4 linked regions of the Xenopus tropicalis genome follow. The protein of the gene in region 4 purifies or fractionates together with the protein of the main gene of each other region. This does not show direct contact. Links are inferred from orthologs where the notes say so. Each region holds a gene or a part of one and is shown on either strand. Other genes may lie near its edges.

Evidence for each region. Proteins that work in one complex are often made in the same cells at the same time.
Region 1: the proteins of stx5 (region 4) and sec22b purify together in Homo sapiens (co-immunoprecipitation; 4 studies listed by BioGRID and IntAct, counting the BioPlex papers as one, with this or other methods). This does not show direct contact. The link is inferred for Xenopus tropicalis from reciprocal best matches to the Homo sapiens genes STX5 and SEC22B.
Region 2: the proteins of stx5 (region 4) and napa purify together in Homo sapiens (affinity purification with mass spectrometry; 3 studies listed by BioGRID and IntAct, with this or other methods). This does not show direct contact. The link is inferred for Xenopus tropicalis from reciprocal best matches to the Homo sapiens genes STX5 and NAPA.
Region 3: the proteins of stx5 (region 4) and ykt6 purify together in Homo sapiens (affinity purification with mass spectrometry; 3 studies listed by BioGRID and IntAct, with this or other methods). This does not show direct contact. The link is inferred for Xenopus tropicalis from reciprocal best matches to the Homo sapiens genes STX5 and YKT6.

The regions. Positions count from the first base shown.
Region 1 is NC_030680.2:118,087,760-118,093,019, reverse strand, and holds the start of sec22b (vesicle-trafficking protein SEC22b precursor), read left to right. Parts: upstream 1-1,818; 5' UTR 1,819-1,839; coding exon 1,840-1,914; intron 1,915-5,260. UniProt on the Homo sapiens protein: SNARE involved in targeting and fusion of ER-derived transport vesicles with the Golgi complex as well as Golgi-derived retrograde transport vesicles with the ER.
Region 2 is NC_030684.2:79,896,747-79,901,979, reverse strand, and holds the start of napa (alpha-soluble NSF attachment protein), read right to left. Parts: upstream 3,443-5,233; 5' UTR 3,420-3,442; intron 3,410-3,419; exon of another isoform or gene 3,153-3,409; intron 2,965-3,152; 5' UTR 2,952-2,964; coding exon 2,854-2,951; intron 2,662-2,853; coding exon 2,582-2,661; intron 2,461-2,581; coding exon 2,344-2,460; intron 1,694-2,343; coding exon 1,647-1,693; intron 557-1,646; coding exon 479-556; intron 1-478. UniProt on the Homo sapiens protein: Required for vesicular transport between the endoplasmic reticulum and the Golgi apparatus. Together with GNA12 promotes CDH5 localization to plasma membrane.
Region 3 is NC_030679.2:126,517,470-126,522,873, forward strand, and holds the start of ykt6 (synaptobrevin homolog YKT6), read right to left. Parts: upstream 3,443-5,404; 5' UTR 3,291-3,442; intron 3,131-3,290; 5' UTR 3,126-3,130; coding exon 3,022-3,125; intron 184-3,021; coding exon 101-183; intron 1-100. UniProt on the Homo sapiens protein: Vesicular soluble NSF attachment protein receptor (v-SNARE) mediating vesicle docking and fusion to a specific acceptor cellular compartment. Functions in endoplasmic reticulum to Golgi transport; as part of a SNARE complex composed of GOSR1, GOSR2 and STX5.
Region 4 is NC_030680.2:36,552,831-36,558,166, forward strand, and holds the start of stx5 (syntaxin-5), read right to left. Parts: upstream 3,272-5,336; 5' UTR 3,203-3,271; exon of another isoform or gene 3,180-3,202; intron 1-3,179. UniProt on the Homo sapiens protein: Mediates endoplasmic reticulum to Golgi transport.

The sequences.
Region 1 (5,260 bases), about 82 Mb from region 4:
CATACTGATAAAACCATATATGAAATGATTTTCAGTGTGCGCAGATGGTGGCCCAGTTATGGATGGGTAGGTTTAAAAAACAAAGCAGCTGATGCACCATGGTGTATGGTGCATCAGTAAATGAAGAAGTGGAAATGTCAGGGCTACCATCAGGGGGAGTAATAAAGGTATGAACCTTTAGGCTAAGGACCCATGGAGCGAGTTAGTTGCCAGTGAAAAGGCATTTCGGAGCAGTTAGTCCCCGCAATAGCAGAGATTTGGGCTTCTCTACTAGCCTGAGACAACCACAGTCTTTTGGCAGGGAAGATATGTGCCTCCAAAAATACCCCAGTTGGTCCCCATCTTCTTCTCTGCTGATTCACTGCCCATATTCTGCTGCTGCTGTCAGTTATTGAGCTTAGGGACGATTAGTAATTTATTCAGATTCACATTACATGGCAGCTTTGAAACCAGTGCAATTAGCATCAGAATTTATTAATCAGCCATGTGGCATCAGCGTATATGACAATTAAACCTAATTTTTGGCTTGATAATTTTCAACAACCCCTAAGCTTTGCTTCCCAACAGTTGCCCAGGGCACACTGAGCATATGCAGTGTCACTAACACTCCTAGCAACATCCAAGATGGGAAGCTTCTGTGATAACTGTAAGGACCTGGATAATTATTACTATAGAGATGCTGAAACTTTAGGCTGCTGCATCAAGTTTAGTATGTAAAATTTGGCATTTCTAGCCATATTGATTTTTTGAGTTTAATTCTCCATAAAGAGCTTTATACCTCTTCAGTCATGTCTAATTTAAATAAGTTGTGTATAAGCGGCTATTGTCTGCCTGCTGTATGCTTGTTTATTTGCTGGCTAACAATACCCATGTTTCTTATGTAACAATAAAAAATGTCTATTTTTACTATATATGTTTACCCAGCAACAAGTACACTGGACTCCCCTTATCTTCACAATAGTTCCCTAAAATGTGCTGAATTATTTATTGACTAAACCTAAATGATATATCAAAGCAGAAATATATATTATAAATCAAGTAACTCAATAATGTACTACAGGGGGTTACAATGGTTCTGCAGTCAGGGGTCCCTCTCTTTGCACCCCTTCTATGCACCTAAGCCCTGCCTACTTACCAAATCTGACCCACTTCATCCATTTAAGGCCCCACACATCACAACTTCACCCTCCTGGTACCTACTCAACCCCTTATGTCATTGGCAAATATGGCCAAGAAGTAAAAGTGAACCCTGTCTTTGCACAACATCAAGCATCATTTTTACCAGCCAGGCCAGTAAAACCCTGGGCAGGCGGCAACTGTATGTGCTGAAGGTAGGTGGGCCAGAACATGAACTGAGTTTTAATGGATTAAGGCAAAAAGGGGTAAGATGCCTCATATGCAATTGGGGTGAAGCAGGGCTTCAGTTGCCATTTATGACCTGGCCCATGCAAAACCATTAATTGTTCCAGCAGCAGCTCAGAAATTAGGGGAAACCTTAAAGTATTAAGATGCCAAGATATCACGTCTCTAGAAAAAGATTTCCCTTCTTTTCTTACTCATTATTTTGCCTAGCATCGATTTATAAAAGACAATACTGGCAGATTCCAAATAAAAGATGGCGAATCCACAGCACAAATGCCTAGGCGCCGTAACTTTCATTTTCCTTCCCTAGGAACTTTCGTACCCCGGAACCTTTGTTGAGACAGACAGGGGGGCGGTACTACAGTGTGAACCCTGTCACTGCCAGCGGAGCAGGGGGGTGGAGAGCAACGTTTCCGGCCAGCTCATCCTGATCTCTAGCCCTGTTGTGTGTGTGTGCGTCTGTCTCCCCCGGTCAACATGGTCCTGCTAACGATGATCGCCCGAGTGGCTGACGGACTCCCGCTGGCTGCCTCCATGCAGGAGGACGAACAGGTGAAATGTTCATATACAGGTCAAACATGTCTTCAACTCGAGAGAGCCCACCTGTTGGGGAGTGCATAGTAATAGCTATAGGGAACCAGATGTAGCTGAGGGCATGTTGGAGTGATGTTTAGAAGCAAAACCTTGGGCTACATAGCTCAGGGGCAGTTGTACTGGGGTGTATATTCACTGTATCCATTCAAGCGAGGGTGTTATTGTGCTGGGTGCGTTATTATAAGCAGTGCCCTGCTTGTGTGTGTTTATGCGCTATGGGAATACAGGTAAGCTGTGTATCTGAGTGCTAGCTGTTTGTTTACACTGTGATGAGATATGAATAATGTGTTTGTGTATATGTGTGAGCGTACATTGTATATATAAAGAAGTGTAGTGTATGTGTAGGGTTGACTACTGTATATGCACACACAGGTAGCCTGTCAACTTCATTTTGGGACACCTATAAAATACATTGTTAGACATACATTTCTATCATAACTGGCTGCATTGTCTCTGTTCCGTTGATTGGGCAGGTCTGGCCAGCAAGTATGTACCTGGCTATTATGCACAGCTCCGCTACAGGCACGGCCTATGTAAGCTGTTGTGGGCATATTTATTGTGCCATATAGGTGAGGGATATTTGTATGTATGTATGTATATCTTTATTTATAAAGCGCTACTTATGTACGCAGCGCTGTACAGTAGAATACATTAATACAAACAGGGTGTTAATAAGATAATAATAGATAAATACAAAGTATAACAATAAATAAATACAGCTGCAATAAGTTAAGAGTCGAGGACACAAGAGGAAGGAGGTCCCTGCCCCGTAGAGCTTACAATCTATATTTATAAAGAAAGCAGTGCGGATACATTTAGACCATACAGATGTTAGATATGTATGACTTTAACTGTGTGCGGAATGTAGAGCTGTTTGTGGTTATGTATAGTGACCATACCTGTGTCCATGCAGGTGTGAATTAGCTATTCTATTGTGTGTTTATACTGATTAGCCAGAAAGGTGAAGGCTGTGCGTAGTGTTGTATATTAGTTGTGCCACTATTAATGAACATTATATGTAGTGTTCCATGTATTTAGCCTGTACAGGTGAGGGTTATAGGTAGCTTTGGTTTTGTCCAAAAAGGTGTACATGTGGGACATGCCTAGGTCTATGCTTATGATTTATCGGTGCTTCTATAGAGTGGTGGGAGGGTGTGCATAACTGTGACGGTAAGTACTTAAATAGTACCCTGTGCATGTAGATAAGATGCCTTATTAAAGATTATATCACAGGACTGACCAGCCATAGACCGTATGTGGCCCTCTAAGGGATGTATAAGGTCACAGGTTGTGTTGGCAATCTGAGCAGAAGCTGCCTGATTGTGTCCAAGTGAAAAGGCACTGTTGCACTATTAGTAAAAATAGCCTCTAGACCTTTATCCTTCTGTTCAGGAGGTATGACCACCTCTTCTATGTTGCAAGGCTTGTGCAAGAGTTTCTTAAAAAAGTGTGCGTAAAGTTACGGAGTAGAAAGGTCATAGGGTAGAAGCGCATGGGTTCAGATTGGGAGCATTATTGAATACAGTGCAGCTCTAATTACCCAACAAAACACAGATATTCCAGAGCTACTTATTGATTTGTTGCACTTTTATAGCAACTTGTTTCTGTTCTTCCTTTATCAATGTGCTACAGTAATGTACATGGTGTGTAACTGGAAAAGCTGCTACTGTTCCCTTGTATGCAAAGGACTGTTTGCCATTATTTCAGTGCCTAAGGGTTACTGTATGAGAGGAGGATATGTAGTGCTGTAATTAGCTCCTATGGCAATGCAGGAGCTATACATAAAATGTGTTTACATGAAGATTGAGGATTGTATTGCTGTCTGCAGGTTAGCAAGTGAGCTGTAATTACTGCTCTCCCTCGAGTTATAATGAAACCTTCCCTCATTGGTCTAATTTTCATATAAAGCTCTTTGTGTATCAGGCTAAGGTAAAGTGGAAACCCACAAGGATAGCCACGTAATAAGAACTATACGAGGAGCATAGATACAGAATAATCATGCAAATATAGGAGCAGGCAAAATAAATATATTTACCCATGTGTAATCTGCATAGAATATACCGTTGCTTATTTAGGCACTTACCCCAGGACATCCTGCATGGAACCAGTCCAGAACTTTGCAGTGCCGTTGACATCACACTTTACCCTTTCTCAGTAAACATGTTGGTTGGCAGATTATTATTTGCTGAATGATTTAATGTCAGTGGTTTTTGCCACAATGGGCATCAGGGACCAGTTAGTGAAATGGCGGTTAACACTAAAAATTGTTCATATGCACCTCCCACACCTAATTATATATCTCAGAGGAACAGAGGCTGTTGAGCATGGGGGTTAAATTATAACAGTGAAAGAAATGTGGCCAGAGTAAAACCCCATTCATTAGTGCAACCATCATTCAAAACATTGACTAAAATAATGATGTGCACCTAAATAGTCATATACATAGTCATATGACTGGTCAGTAAATATTAATTACTGGTCATATCATAATTTGAAGATATGGGTTAAGTACACAAGGAGAAGGGCTTTAAAGGGCAATTAGCAAATGGTCTTCATTTTTTATGGTTTTTCAGTTATTTATTTTTGTGTTCAGCAGCTCTCCATTTTATAGCGGCTACCTGGTTGCTAGGGTATTTTTTACCCTAGTAACTTGGCAGTGGTAGAGGGCCTGCACAGAAAGATGAGTAATAAAAATGTACCCTCACTGGGCAATAGTTTTTGGCTGCCGGCGTTAGTGACCCCCATTTGAAAGTTGGAAAGTGGCAGCAGAGAAAAGCAAATAATTAAAAACTTAAAAAAATGAATAGTGAAAACCAGTTGTAAGGATTAGGGCATTCAATAACATACTAAAAGTTATCGTAAAGGTGAAGGAATTAATAATAAGGCTAAAGCCTGAGGTAGAACCTTGTGCCGATTATAAGGCAACAGGCAAGTAAATTGCAGGACTGTTACATCCAAGTTTAGTACTTAAAGATCATTGCTTCATTTTATAGATTGGGGTGATACCTTAATAATTATTAAAAAATATCAATATTTTTGTTACAGGGTACTGTGAAAAAAAGCAAATATACTTAATGATTTCCTCCCCTCTTCTCTATAAACTATTAAGGAGCCAGTGTAACCAGATTTACAGTGTAGAAGCAAAGAAGGTTTCTTGACACAGAACATGGGACAGGTGCCCAAATGCAATAACACCCTCAAAGTTTGCCCAGATGCAGTAACCCTTAGCAGCTAATTACATGGTTTCTTTAATACATATGCCCACTAAATACTTTATTTTAATTGGTTGCTGCAGGTGATTTCA
Region 2 (5,233 bases), on a different chromosome or scaffold from region 4:
GCTGATTCTCAGCATGCGTTTTTAGCCCCTCCACTGGCATCGGCCTCCTATCTTGTCTGCACACAGAACAATTGTGTCAGCCTGGGTGTAGGTGCATGCGGCCGACACAATGGTTCCGGGTGTAGGCAAGGCAGGAGACTGTTGACAGGAGGGCCTTTTTCCACAAGCTGAGAATCAGCCCTGTGTGGCATCAGCCTAAAAGCAGGCAGACAAAACTGATGACCCAGAGGAACAATAAAAGATCTAGGACAAAGTTCCCTGTAAGCCAAGCACTTATTCGCACACACAAATATTGAGGTCACTGCATGGACAAACATTGTTCACTTAGTTTTACACTTATTTGAACCCTCCCATATCTCTGTGCAACCAGCATTTTAAGAGACCATAAAGGATAATTGTCGTGAAAGAGGGAGAGAGAGAGAGCATATGAAGAAATGGAAGAAGAGAAAGATTATATCTGAGAGAGAAAATAACTCACCTTCTCTATGTCAACCAGCTCTGACTCGTAGATCTCTGCTATGGAAATGTGATGTTTGGCGGCAATGGTGAATCTTCCCTACATGAAAAAAAACACAAGGTTTTTTTTTTTTTTTTTTTGATTGTTTTTTTATGCTCTTATTAAGCATTTGAAAAGTACATGGTGCAACATCATAAAAAAAACCAGATGAATAGGATGCTCATTTTACAATAAACCTAAACATAAACAAGAAAATTCAACATAAAACCCAACAACAAACATCAAATCTTTGAGGACCGCCTATGCAGGGGATACAGGGGAATGGCTCCCTCCACCATAGCTTCTCATGCTGCCACAGTTGGCCCACCAGGTGTCTTTAAGAATTGTGCAATTTTTCTGTGGGTTTTTTTTTTTTTTTTTTTGCATACATACATAAAATGGACATTTACATTTTTTTTTTCTCTATGAGGGGGGACAGCTCTTGAACCTGACTGAGCATATACCAGATATCCATTCTACCGGGTATATATTTTGCCACTTCCTCCCAGAAGTGCTGCACACAGGCCACAACAGCTGGATAAAGTCAGATGGTGAAAAACGACATCTGGGGCACTCTTGTGGGAGCTCCTGGTTTAATATTTGTAACGGTGGGGTGTATCCCTAATTACAGCATCAAAGGTTGACTCCAACACCTCCTCCCACAGTTCAAGTGTAATGTGGGGGAGATCCTGTTGCCACCTGGCATAGAGTTTGTTCAGAAGGGTACTGCCTGCCCTCACTTTTGCATTATTGATGTCTGCCTACTATTTCATGTTCAGAACATCCTCCAATTTATTTTTAGAGCTTTATCCTACAATTTCAGTCTGAATGTTAGTTTTAGATCGTTGCATTTAAACGTATGATCGATATCCGAACATTCATTAGAAGAGCATTTTTTTTGTTCCCTGCTACTTTCTGACTAAAAAAAAACCCACTTGTTTCCATAACAATTCTATTGCCCATTTCCCAAACACATATGTATCATTCTCTACAAACTGCATTTAAACACACCTTGATCCTTAGTCAACAAATATCTTACTAAACATCTTGCGTTCTTTTAGCCATATTCGCATTGTCACTCTGTTTGTGGTCAACTTAAGAAGTGATAAAGACCAAAAAAAAGCGGAAGATAGTTTGAAATTGTCCTTACCATGTCAGTGTAGATCTCTATTGCTCGAAGCAGACAGTTAATTGCCTCTGAAAACAATATAGATACTTGTGATCATTTATCAAAGTTATTATTGAAAAAGTTAAGCATTGCTTTATGTATTCTTGCAGAAAAGCCTTTATTTCATTTAATAAAATACCTCTAATAAAATAAGGCCTAAAATCACCTGGCATTTCATATTCAAGATGAATATATAAGAATATATTCATGTGCCTGGCTGTGCATGGCATTCTCTGGTCAAGACAATATCAGATCAGCTTGAAATGTGCCTGTTTGCATTTGGCGACCAGTGCTAGGATTGCTTTGATAGTAAAAAAATGCTGCAAATCACACCGGTCTATTTTGTCTATTATTAACAGTTACAGGTGAGGAGCACTGTATTCAGGAGCATCAAGACGGGGGAGGAGGGGGGTCTCTGCATTTTATTCTTCTTGGAGCTATCATTGTGGGGGTATTGCCACAATAGACAAAAAACACTTTTGTGCAAAACACTTATTTACACTTAGTTATTACAACAACCCACATTTCTGTGCACATAACTGATATAAATATGTTATCTTTGTGCATATGACCGAAAACAAATCAAAGGGGAACACTGGGTGCTGGTACAAACAGTTATTGATAGATAACTTTGAAAAAAAAAAAGACTCATTCAAGAGACAACTAGGACCTCTCTTACCCTGGGGGTCAGATTTCTTGAATGCATTTCCAGCATCCACAAAGTTAGTGGCTGCATCATGCTTGCTTTGAACCTGAAGATGGATCTGGGCAGCCTGGCAGAAGGCATTGCCAGCAGCTGGGAAAAAGAAGAAGAGCATCTTATTGCACTATTCCGAGGAGTATAAATATCTATATACCTATATATGGATATATGGAAAGTTTGTTACAAATGATTTTACAGATTACATACTACCTACCACTCCAGTTCTTGGCCATCTTAAACATGTTGGCAGCCCTGGCATAGAGGTCGCATGCTTCTTCCATTTTAGAGGAGCCTCTTAAATGCAGACAAACAGACAAAGATTACACACTATTCAAGTTATAAGATTAACAAAATGTAAAATGCTTTGTGTAGTGACAGCTACAGCGTTGTAAATGCTTAATATTACTAACACTAGTGACAGTTCAATGCTTTTGGTCAGAAACAGATTTTGCCCTGTTACCATGTAATTATTTCTAATTCACTTACCCAAACAGCCCTGAAAAGAATGACTGCGATGACTTCACCTTCTTGTCAGCCTCAGCCAGAAGCTGCAGAGCCTCCTTCTCCTTCCCAGAGTTATCCATGGTTGAATGGGGCCTGTCAATGATAATAACAATCAGAAAATATGGAAAATAGATGCCAATATAAATTATAAAAAAGAAAATATCTATAAATTCAGAAAAATTCCCCGGTATTAGATCAGAGACCATAGAATCAGCCATTGTAACATGGGCCTGGAATTACATTTTAGGAAAGTAGTTAATCTATTAAAGTTTTTCTATTACCGCAAGATGTTAGCCGATTCAGAGCGCTAACCAGAACTAGGAGGCAGGCAGCCAAGAAAAAGCTCTGCAAATGAGTGAAAGGCCTCGTAGAAAGCCGACGAGCTAGTAATACGAGGATACTCGCGGATAGAGACAAACAGGAGGCAGAGGCCAGGGATCAAAAACCCTTGAACCGAGAGACGGCCGAGGGAGATAATCGGGAATCAGAGAGCAGAAGAATAGGGCAAGCAGAAGGGAAAGAATTGTAACAGTGTGCGGGACGCTGACCTGATTTTGCAGGCAAATAATGACTGCGCTTAGTATTTCTCCGGATCAGCAGCTATGCTTCAGTGACAGCAAAACTTCCGCCCGCAGAACACATGATTATTCTGTTTCCGCCAATATCCGTGCCACGTGACCAAACGTTAGCATTCACATCCGCCTAGACACAGTCAGAAGATGTAGTTAGGCTTTTTCTGAGCGGCATTTAAAGGGAAAGATGTGTACTCCTTTTTAAAAATAATACAGACTGTAGTGCGTTGTTTTCTATTACATTATCATTTTTTTACATATGATCTTTTTTATGTTTTAGTTGTCCTTATCTTCGTGTAGTGTTGCATTTCATATTAAAAAAAACAGTGGTCTTCCGGGTTTGTTTGTTTTTAGCTTTTTGCCTCGCTATTGGCAATGTTTGGAACGAGGCATCATTTTTACTACCCTGGCGTTAACATTATTAGTAAGGGGGCAGCCTTTGTTCTGATTCAGCTAATACTGCTTATTACAGTAACTCCATGTTACCATTCTCTGCTCTCTAAGCATAAATGCGGTAGAGGTTAAAGGTCCAGGAAACAGTTTTTTTTGCTTATTGGTGCACCACCAACTATATACTTTACTAATGACCTGAAGGCCAAGTTAAGGAAAGGCAGTAAAGAATAACCCAAACTGCTTAACGTGCCTGGCAATGAGTTTAATATAAACTGCTCATACCTCCCAACATTTGAAAATGAAAAAGAGGGACAAAATATTTTGCAGCGCTAAGCGCGGCGAAATTTTTCTTGACCACGCCCACTATATGGCCACACCCCCAGATGTCCCATTTTTGCACATTGTCCCGCTGTCCCAGATACTTACTGAAATGTCCTGCTGTGTCTTTTAAGTGTCCTGCTCGTCTTCAGGTCTTTTTGTCTTCCTTTGGGTTTCCTTGGCTCCTTCTGTCACTGCTGTCTTTGGATCTTCACAGCTTCTTCCTGCACTTTTTTATTTGTTGTGGGTGCTGGTGCTGCTCAGGTCGTGGGTCACAAAAGTTACGCTGGTGCTGCTGTGCCTTTATCTACTACTGTACAAGCTCTACTTACTGCTCCTTTTTTAAAAAAAATAAGCTTGGTGAGTCCCTGACTGTAACAAGTGTTTATTAATTCTTAATAAATAATTAATATTCATTATTAATAAACACCTTTGTTACAGTCAGGGACTCACCAAGCTTATTTTTTTTAAAAAAGGAGCAGTAAGTAGAGCTTGTATAGTAGTAGATAAAGGCACAGCAGCACCAGCGTAACTTTTGTGACCCACAGCCTGAGCAGCACTAGCACCCATCCTGTTCGTTCTGAATTTTAAGTGAAATGGCTTGCTCAGCCATACTCACATCTCGCGAGACTTGCAGACAACCACAAAAAGGACCGAGATGGCGAAGCACCTGAAGGAGCCGGAAAGAGCCGAAGACAAACGCGCGGAAGAAGCCGTGAAGATCCGTAGATAGCGGTGACGGAATGAGCCGAGAAGACCTGCAGACGAGCGGGACTCTTAAAGGCACCGCGGGACATTTTGATAAGTATCCGGGACAGTAGGCAAAAACCAGGACTGTCCCGCGTAAAGCGGGACAGTTGGGACCTATGACTGCCTACCAATGGCATTGGTGGTTTTTCTCTCAAGAATGCAAACTTGAACATTCCAGTCAAGTACATTGAAGAATTTACACCTGCCTCAATGAGAATTATCGTGACTGGATCACATTTTTGCATCTGAATAGTTCGATGGATGTTGGTGACTGTATTTCCATTAAGAGTTTAAATGCCAGGTAATTCCCTACCTGTCGGCTGAAATTA
Region 3 (5,404 bases), on a different chromosome or scaffold from region 4:
AGCATTCTGGATAACAGGTCCCAAACCTGTACTGTGTATTGTGCTTCCAGAGCAGCTAACCTCTGATGTGCATATGGCATTTATAATATGCACAACTGACCTTGCTCCTTCACAGAGGACCGGCTCCCTTTATCTGATCGTTCCACTATCAGCTGGCTGGTAAATGCCATAAACTCCTGGATGCTGTGGAAAGAAAATGGCAGATACATTAGATAGCTTCAAGAAAGTTTGTGGAATTCATTACAAGTTAAGTATATATTGGTACAAAACAGAACCGGGGAATAGCACGGCTAGAGGCAGAAAGGAATGCTCTCTCTTTATTTGCAGTCAGTTGGAATCAGCTCTGGAAGGTTTCATTCTCCATCCTCTGAATCAATAAGAGATCTATTTGCTCGACCATGGCTACCATATGAAAGGCAGTCTAATAAAGAGATAGACACCTTGTGACATTATAAGTTCTGACTCTCTATAAGTGAATTACATATTGCATTAGCTCTGGTTACTAAGCCCAGCCAACCATATTTTCATCCCTGAATGTTTTTATATGAATTGGAGCCCCCTATTGGTTGCTCAGCTGAGTACATATTTAAGCTCATCTATTGACTTTAATTTATAGGAACAGTAACACCAAAAATTAAAGTGTTTTAAGTTAATTAAAATATCATTTAGCATTGCCCTGCACTGGAAAACATTTTGTGTTTGCCTCATTACTTTAGGTTAAATAAATAAGCTGCTGTGTAGCCACGGGTAGATATTTAAGCTGGAAAAAAAAGGCACAGGTTACACAGAAGATGGCAGACAAGCTCTGTAGAATACAGTGGTGTTTTACAGAGCTTATCCGTTATCTGCTAAGTAACCTATGCCACTTAGCCCTATTATAATTGGAATGGCAGCCTCCATGACTACACAGCAGCTTTGTTTATACAAACTGTAGTAGTGTTTCTGAAACAAACACACAACTTTTACCACTGCAGGGCAACAGTACATTATAATAACTTTGACGCATTTGTTGGAATAGATGTATGAATAGATGCATGGCTTAATGAGGCAATATGTACTGTGGAGCAAGAAACACACAGGTATGTCTTACTAGCAGGCCCCCTTTTTTCAGAAGTGCTGCCCCCACATTGCGCTCCCAGCTCTGCCCAATGCTGCTTGTATCTAAGGTAATTTCAGGTGGGTTTTATATATTTTCCATTTCAGGGGGTAAACATTAACTTGGATGCATACTTTGGGGAGTGCGAGATTGTGGTTGACTAGGTGATGAGGACCAAAGTAGGGTGGCATACGAGCTGACATATATGAACCCATAGCAACTAGCCAAGATCCAGCTGCAACAAGACTGAAAAAAGAAACATTCTGGCTAGTTGCTATAGGTTACTACCACATTTTATACAACTTTGTGAATAGCCTGCCCTCTCAAATAAAGAGTCTCTAAGACTGTAAGCAAACATTCTTGGTATAATCAGTATACCCTCTAATTTCTTGCAGGCAGTGTGGGCCAAGAAAGTCCAACATGCACCTAAAAAACAAAGGAACTCATGTATAAACACTGGGCAAATGTTACAGCTAGCTGAAGGTAGAACAATAAAAAGCAAACTTTTGATTGGTTCCCATGGGCTAATGCCCAGGTGCAAACCTGCCAAGTGTTCATAAATGACCCCCAGAGTTCACAGTCCAGGCAAGGGCTGAATTATATGTATGCATGCTCCCCATCTGATGTAGGAATGTCAAGGCACCTGAATAGGAACCACTACATATATATGATGTTGTGAGCGTAGGGTGGGTACCCAGCTTGGTAACCACTGCATATATATTATACTGTGAGCATAGGGGGCACCCAGCTTGGTAACCACTGCATATATATTATACTGTGAGCATAGGGTGGGCACCCAGCTTGGTAACCACTGCATATATATTATACTGTAAGCATAGGGTGGGCACCCAGCTTGGTAACCACTGCATATATATTATACTGTGAGCATAGGGGGCACCCAGCTTGGTAACCACTGCATATATATTATACTGTGAGCATAGGGGGCACCCAGCATGGTAACCACTGCATATATATTATACTGTGAGCATAGGGTGGCACCCAGCTTGGTAACCATTGCATATATATTATACTGTGAGCATAGGGTGGGCACCCAGCTTGGTAACCACTGCATATATATTATACTGTGAGCATAGGGTGGCACCCAGCTTGGTAACCACTGCATACATATTATACTGTGAGCATAGGGGGCACCCAGCTTGGTAACCACTGCATATATATTATACTGTGAGCATAGGGTGGCACCCAGCTTGGTAACCACTGCATATATATTATACTGTGAGCATAGGGGGCACCCAGCTTGGTAACCATTGCATATATATTATACTGTGAGCATAGGGGGGCACCCAGCTTGGTAACCATTGCATATATATTATACTGTGAGCATAGGGTGGGCACCCAGCTTGGTAACCACTGCATATATATTATACTGTGAGCATAGGGTGGCACCCAGCTTGGTAACCACTGCATATATATTATACTGTGAGCATAGGGGGCACCCAGCTTGGTAACCACTGCATATATATTATACTGTGAGCATAGGGGGCACCCAGCATGGTAACCACTGCATATATATTATACTGTGAGCATAGGGTGGGCACTCAGCTTGGTAACCACTGCATATATATTATACTGTGAGCATAGGGTGGCACCCAGCTTGGTAACCACTGCATATATATTATACTGTGAGCATAGGGTGGGCACCCAGCTTGGTAACCACTGCATATATATTATACTGTGAGCATAGGGTGGGCACCCAGCTTGGTAACCACTGCATATATATTATACTGTGAGCATAGGGTGGGCACCCAGCTTGGTAACCACTGCATATATTATACTGTGAGCATAGGGGGCACCCAGCATGGTAACCACTGCATATATATTATACTGTGAGCATAGGGGGCACCCAGCTTGGTAACCACTGCATATATATTATACTGTGAGCATAGGGTGGGCACCCATCATACCTGGATCTCTGGAAGAAGCTGAAGGAGGAGACATCATAGGCACTTTTCAGAAGACTGACCTTGTTATCTCCCTTATATAGAACACTGAGACTGTAAAGCTTCATGGTGGCTGCAAGAGAGAGAGGGGAGGATTGGGGTAAATGGTTCCATATAACAAGGACAGATGAGCACACACATCAGTGCTAGGCAGGGCAGCCATGAGCGGGGGACAGCAGTCCTGGGCCCGATGGGTTGTGGGTCTCTAGGTGGGCCGGCTGTGCTGCACTTACTTGGCTCACAGGGCCCCCCTGCTGTCAGTGAGATGTAGACTTCGGGAGGGGTGTTGGATGCTGAAGTGCCTGCGTGTCGTCTCCCCTACACAGCCTTAATAATAGCACCAAGTCCCGCTTTTCCCAACAGCCCAACAGTCCCGGGTCGCTACTTACAGGTCCCGCAAAACTGTTAACTGCAGCCTCCAACCCTCCTCCAGTCTTACAGGAAATCCCAACGCCACAAGTCTCATCACCACTACACGTAAGCGCAGTGACGCAACACGTTGCCGCCCGATGGGCGTGGCGAGCCGGCGTAACTCAGTGTTACATAGTCGGAAGCTGCTGGTTAATCGTGGCGGCTTCTCTCAAAATCGCATGTTGTTGTGCTTGCGCTTTCTGTTTCTCTGAGTGAACACTTATCTTTGTTGTTGGTTTCTCGTTATGCCATTCGCCATTTCAGTCCCAATAAAAGTCATTTATGTTTTATGCTAAAGGTTCGCAAGAAAAAAGGCTTCCATGGTTACCAACTGCCCCTGCAGCCATTGGAGTTTATTTTCCCAATTTCAGCCTGCGTCTGGATCTCCTCCATATTTATAACTTTGGAAAATGCACAGAACTTTTGGCATGTCTGAAGTTGATTGGTAATTTTACTGGCATGTCTGGGGTTAATATGCCCTTTATCAATTTAATGTAGTCATACTGGCATGTTTGAAGTTAATATGTCCTTTATTCTTTTTATTTAGTGATTATACTGGCACATCTGGGCCATGTAAAGTGGGTGTGGCACGTGGGGCGTGGTCACAAAGCAGGCGTGGCCAAATTTTTTTTTTGCCACACTACCTGAGTCACATATTTTTGTCCCTCTTTCTCTTAATAAAATGTTGGGAGGTATGTTGTTATATACCCTGTAAGATAAGAAAGAAACTGTTACTGTATATACAGTGCCCCCCCCCACACTTTAAATGTAAAATCAATAAAGAAAGATCATTTAAAAAGATCTATAATAAGTATATATTTGTAGCAGAGGGTATTGTACCATAGGAAGGACAAATATGGAGGTTTCCTACAAAGTGGTACAGCTGCTCTATACCCTGTGGGAACCATTTGGGAGACATTATCAGTGGTTTTCTTTTCCCTTTCATGGTCATGGGACTTTTTCTGCCGTTTGGCTTTGATTAATGAGCCTTCCTGTAGCGGAGAGGTCCCAGTACCAAAGCCACAGAATAGAAACTTCTTACAAAAAAGTACTTTGTTACCCACATGCATAGCGAATACATACTGCATGGCTGCATGGAAACCAGTGTGGGCTGCACTCGGATATAGGAGGCCTCATTTATCAAGCCAAATATCCCATGGCCAAGATATGAGCAGATGTACTAAATAGGTATCCTGTATTTAAAGGGAAAAACTTGCTGGGCTGGGCCCAGCAGGGACAGAGCATGTTCTCCTTGTATCCCTTTTAAAGGGGCTGTTCACTGAGTTAACATTTAGTATGATGTAGAGAGTAATATTCAGAGACAATTTCCAATTGGTCTTCATTTTTTCATTATTTGTAGTTTTAAATAACTTCAATAATTGTTCAGCAGCTCTCCAGTTTGGTGTTAGAACAGCTATTGGGTTACTAAGGTCCAAATTACCTTAGCAACCAGGGAGGGGCTTGAATGAGAGACTGATATATGACTAGGAGAGGGACTGAATAGAAATAAAAAGTTATCAAAAGTAACAATAACACTGTAGCTTCACAGAGGAAAGCTTTTGGCTGCCGCGGTCACCGACCCCCATTTGAAAGCTGCAAGAAGTAATTCAAATTGAAAATAATTCAAAATTTATATGAAGTCCAAATGAAAAGTTGCTTAGAACTGGTCAATCTATAAAACATACTAAAAGCTAAATTGAGCCACCCCTTTAAAGGGCAATGCATCCCAAAGCAGAAATGAACATATTACTATAAGTGATAAAATCCCTAATCTGGTGCCATACAGCATAATGTTCATTCCGGGGGCTGCGTCTCCTAGTGTCTCCTTAATCTTAGTGGGTTGTATGCCATGTACAAAATGGCCTCTCAGTCTCTGTCGTTGGTCACTTTATATTGAACAAGGGGCAATGAAAAGTACTGTCTATGGCAGGGAATT
Region 4 (5,336 bases):
GGATATGTAAACTGTACCATTTAGCCCTATTTCAGTTTAAATGGCTGCCCCCATAGCTACACAACAGCTTTGTTTATATAAACTATAGTAGAGTTTCTGAAGCAAATGCACAACAATACATTACATTTTAATTACTTTGATTTTCAGTAGTCCAATAAAAAGAAACCAAGGGATGCTCTTAAGAATATTGGCATACAGCATTGACTGCATTACATGCATCAGAATACATTTTTATGTAAAACTCCAGTCTTGATCTCAGACATGATGTTATGCTTTGTATGTGTTATGTTATCTGCCCATGTATGACCAAGCAGGCTGGACATTTATCATGTACAAAACATAAAGTACTTAGCACCTCCTTTGGGGAGAAGCGTTCTGAAGGAGGCCCACCAAATAGTACCCCAATGGGGCCAACAGCAATGCTTTCTTACTTTTTAATGCAGAAAAATCTGGGCCCCACTTGCCAAGGCAGGTAATGTAATAATTGCCCAATAAGTTGGTTTCTGTGGAGTGACCATTTATTATTAGAGCCATGGCCAGCCAGAGAGACAGACAGGTAGTTACAGCCATAGGCAACAAGACAGCCAGGTAGTTGCAACCATGGCCCGTCAGGCAGCCAGGTAGTTGCAACCATGGCCCGTCAGGCAGCCAGGTAGTTGCAACCATGGCCCGTCAGGCAGCCAGGTAGTTGCAACCACGGCCAGACAGGCATGAAGTCACAACCATGGCCAGTCAGGCAGTTAGTTACAGCCATGGCCAGTCAGGCAGTTAGTTACAGCCATGGCCAGTCACTTACAGCCAGGTAGTTACAGCCATGGCCAATCAGACAGCCAGGTAGTTACAGCCATGGCCAGTCAGTTACAGCCAGGTAGTTACAGCTATGGCCAGTCAGACAGCCAGGTAGTTACAGCCATGGCCAGTCAGACAGGCATGAAGTTACAACCATGGCCAGCAAGCCAATAGTTACAGCAATGGCCAGCAAGACATGCAGTTAGTTACAGCCATGGGAAGTCAGACAGCCAAGTAGTTACAGCCATGGTCAGACAGCCAGGTAGTTACAGCCTTGGCCAGTCAGACAGCCAAGTAGTTACAGACTTGGCGAGTCAGACAGCCAGGTAGTTACAGCCTTGGTCAGTCAGACAGCCACGTAGCTACAGCCATGGCCAGTCAGACAGCCAGGTAGCTACAGCCATGGCCAGTCAGACAGCCAGGTAGCTACAGCCATGGCCAGTCAGACAGCCAGGTAGCTACAGCCATGGCCAGTCAGACAGCCAGGTAGCTACAGCCATGGCCAGTCAGACAGCCAGGTAGTTACAGCCATGGCCAGACGGGCAGCCAGGTAGTCACAGCCATGGCCAGTCAGACAGCCAGGTAGTCACAGCCATGGCCAGTCAGACAGCCAGGTAGTCACAGCCATGGCCAGTCAGACAGCCAGGTAGTCACAGCCATGGCCAGTCAGACAGCCAGGTAGTCACAGCCATGGCCAGTCAGACAGCCAAGTAGTCACAGCCATGGCCAGTCAGACAGCCAGGTAGTCACAGCCATGGCCAGTCAGACAGCCAGGTAGTCACAGCCATGGCCAGTCAGACAGCCAGGTAGTCACAGCTATGGCCAGTCACACAGCCAGGTAGTCACAGCCAGGTAGTCACAGCTATGGCCAGTCACACAGCCAGGTAGTTACAGCCATGGCCAGTCAGACAGGCATGAAGTTACAACCATGGCCAATCAGACAGCCAGGTAGTTACAGCCATGGCCAATCAGACAGCCAGGTAGTTACAGCTATGGCCAGTCAGACAGCCAGGTAGTTACAGCCATGGCCAGTCAGACAGGCATGAAGTTACAATCATGGCCAGCAAGCCAATAGTTACAACCATGGCCAGCAAGCCAATAGTTACAACCATGGCCAGCAAGACATGCAGTTAGTTACAGCCATGGGAAGTCAGACAGCCAAGTAGTTACAACCATGGCCAGTCAGACAGACAGCCAAGTTGTTACAGCCATGGTCAGTCAGACAGCCAGGTAGCCACAGCCATGGCCAATCAGACAGCCAGGTAGTCACAGCCATGGCCAATCAGACAGCCAGGTAGTCACAGCCATGGTCAGTCAGACAGCCAGGTAGTCACAGCCATGGCCAATCAGACAGCCAGGTAGTCACAGCCATGGCCAATCAGACAGCCAGGTAGTCACAGCCATGGCCAATCAGACAGCCAGGTAGTCACAGCCATGGCCAGTCAGACAGCCAGGTAGTCACAGCCATGGCCAGACGGGCAGCTACAGCCATGGCCAGTCAGACAGCCAGGTAGTCACAGCCATGGCCAGTCAGACAGCCAGGTAGTCACAGCCATGGCCAGTCAGACAGCCAGGTAGTCACAGCCATGGCCAGTCAGACAGCCAGGTAGTCACAGCCATGGCCAGACGGGCAGCTACAGCCATGGCCAGTCAGACAGCCAGGTAGTCACAGCCATGGCCAGTCAGACAGCCAGGTAGTCACAGCCATGGCCAATCAGACAGCCAGGTAGTCACAGCCATGGCCAGTCAGACAGCCAGGTAGTCACAGCCATGGCCAGTCAGACAGCCAGGTAGTCACAGCCATGGCCAGACGGGCAGCTACAGCCATGGCCAGGCAGACAGCCAGGTAGTCACAGCCATGGCCAGTCAGACAGCCAGGTAGTCACAGCCATGGCCAGTCAGACAGCCAGGTAGTCACAGCCATGGCCAGACGGGCAGCCAGGTAGTCACAGCCATGGCCAGTCAGACAGCCAGCTAGTCACAGCCATGGCCAGTCAGACAGCCAGCTAGTCACAGCCATGGCCAGTCAGACAGCCAGGTAGTCACAGCCATGGCCAGTCAGACAGCCAGCTAGTCACAGCCATGGCCAGTCAGACAGCCAGCTAGTCACAGCCATGGCCAGTCAGACAGCCAGGTAGTCACAGCCATGGCCAGTCAGACAGCCAGGTTAGTAGGTATGCGGCGTACTCAAGATTATCTTAACATCAATTCTCACCCAGTGTAGTGATTATCACCTTTAGTGTCATTAGACCCCCCCACAGGCATGACGTCACGGAAGGCAAGCCCCCAAAATCAAACCCTCCCACAGAATGTGGGCAACAAACTATGAGCCCAAGGAGCCCCTTACTGGACCCCGCGCCCTCACATTATAGGAACAGAAACAAACACACCTCCCCCTTACAGTAAATCTCACCGGTCACCGCTTCTCTCTTACTCCCTCTCTCTTTCTGTTTCTGCCGGGGAAAATGCTGACGTCAGCGCCACGTACACACACGTCACCGGCTCCTGTACTTCGCGAGTCGCACTCTGAGTGCGTCAGTCCGGAGGTGTGTTTCTAACCCGGAAGTGTGCGTATTAGTAGTGGAAAGGTTGCCTATAGTAATACGTAGGCGTTATTGTGGAATGGCGTTTCTTTTTAGCTAACTCTAAGTGGCCTTACAACCATGTAATTAATGTCATGACCTTGTTAATCTATCCTAGCATTCTAAAGTGGATATTAATGGGCAAATAAATTCTACTTTCAGCAGAGTACCATATGGCTTTAGGTTATTCAATTGACTTGGTAAATCTGTGCTACCTCAGATGGAAGAACATACCTAGTTTTCTTGCCACCAGCAGTAATGTGAATTGCTAGTGAGAAAACATGCATTGTGAAGTAACCTGGAGCTGCTTTGTAAAGGGGCTGTGCAGATTTACGGTGGACAACAAATGTCCCATGTGCCTTTGCCCTGAGACAACTTTGGAAGCAGAAGTGATGCATATGTGTTCCCAGTACTTCCAACAAGAAGGAAGCTAGGGACGTTTTGTCGCCCATTGTAGCGCAGATTTACCATTGGTGACAAAGTGCCCTGTGTGACTTTGCCATTAATGCTATTACTTGTAATACACCAGCTGGGAAGGACCTGAACCAGTTACAAGGGTAAGATAACACCAGTATCATATTTGCAAGGTTGCATTGACCTAAGGGTGGGGCCTTGAAAAAAACATAAAACTGGACTGGAGTACTGGAGCCTATAAAACATAAAGACTCAAAGTCCTGCTTGATTGTATAAGTGATGCATGATTGTGACGTTAAAGGAGACATATCCTATAAAAATTAAGAATGTACCAGTGAATTATACTCCTCTAGATATAGAAGGATTGTGCTTAAAAAAAGTAGTGTTTCTGACTGAGATTTATTGAGAAATTCCACCAAAACCCCACTAGTCCTGCCCATCTGTTCCACTTCCTGCTGGCTACTTTCACCATTCCCCAATATTTCAACTGCCAATCCAAAGGGGTCATTTACCTAGCCACATGTGAGTGTGGTGCTCAGTATGTGGGGAAAACCATTCGTAAGGTTGGAACTAGGATTCTGGAACACTTATCAGCCGTAGAGAGAAAGGACACGAGATCAGCGATAGCAAAACATATAATAGAGAGACATGAAAGTAGTAATCATGTGACCTTTCAGATTATTGATAGACCTAGTATAAGTGTTAGGGGAGGTGATATAGATAAGAAACTTTCAGAGAGAGAGGTCTTTTGGATATATCGGTTGAAAACAACAGAGCAATATGGGGGCCTCAATAGATGATGGGAATTATCCTGTTTCTACTGATAATCATGTGACCACACCGCTATATAATTGATTAATATTTTTGGAAGCAGTATGTTTATATGTATACTTTTAGTTTAGTATTGTGGTCTGACAATTGGACATATAATCATATATATACAACTTAGAAACAACTTGTAACAATATTTAATACATGTGACTTTTTTGATCTATTGTTACTATTATTATTACTACTATCATCATTATTGTTACTAATACAACACCTAAGCTTACCTAAATGATGTGTGGTTTGGAGGGTACAGTTTTTTATAATTGATAAGCACCCGGGTGGGTGCTCTTTATATGTTTTTATATATACAAGGTTTTCATCACGTCTATGGACATATATGTGCTTGTTTTTCACACTTCAGGGTTAACAGTGAGTTGCCAATTAAGAATGGGTGTGTGTCCTATCTATTTAAATTCAAATGGAGGGTGTCACAATTTGGGCTTCTGAGGAAGTGGTGTTACCACGAAACGCGTTAAGCTAAAGAGGTGAATATGCTCTGACCTGTTTTTAAATGATGAAATAAATTTATGTTTTTATTTCTAAGTTTTTCTGTGCTCCGCTTCTTTATCACTTCCTGCTGGCTGAATTCTCTGGATGTGCAGGGGAGCCGGTGGCACTCAGTACACTGCACTGTAGGATAGGAACCAACCAATCAGCAGCTAGGCTGACCTGATAGGGAACTGAAATCTGTCTTTGCTTGTGTGACTGCAGGGCTGTGAT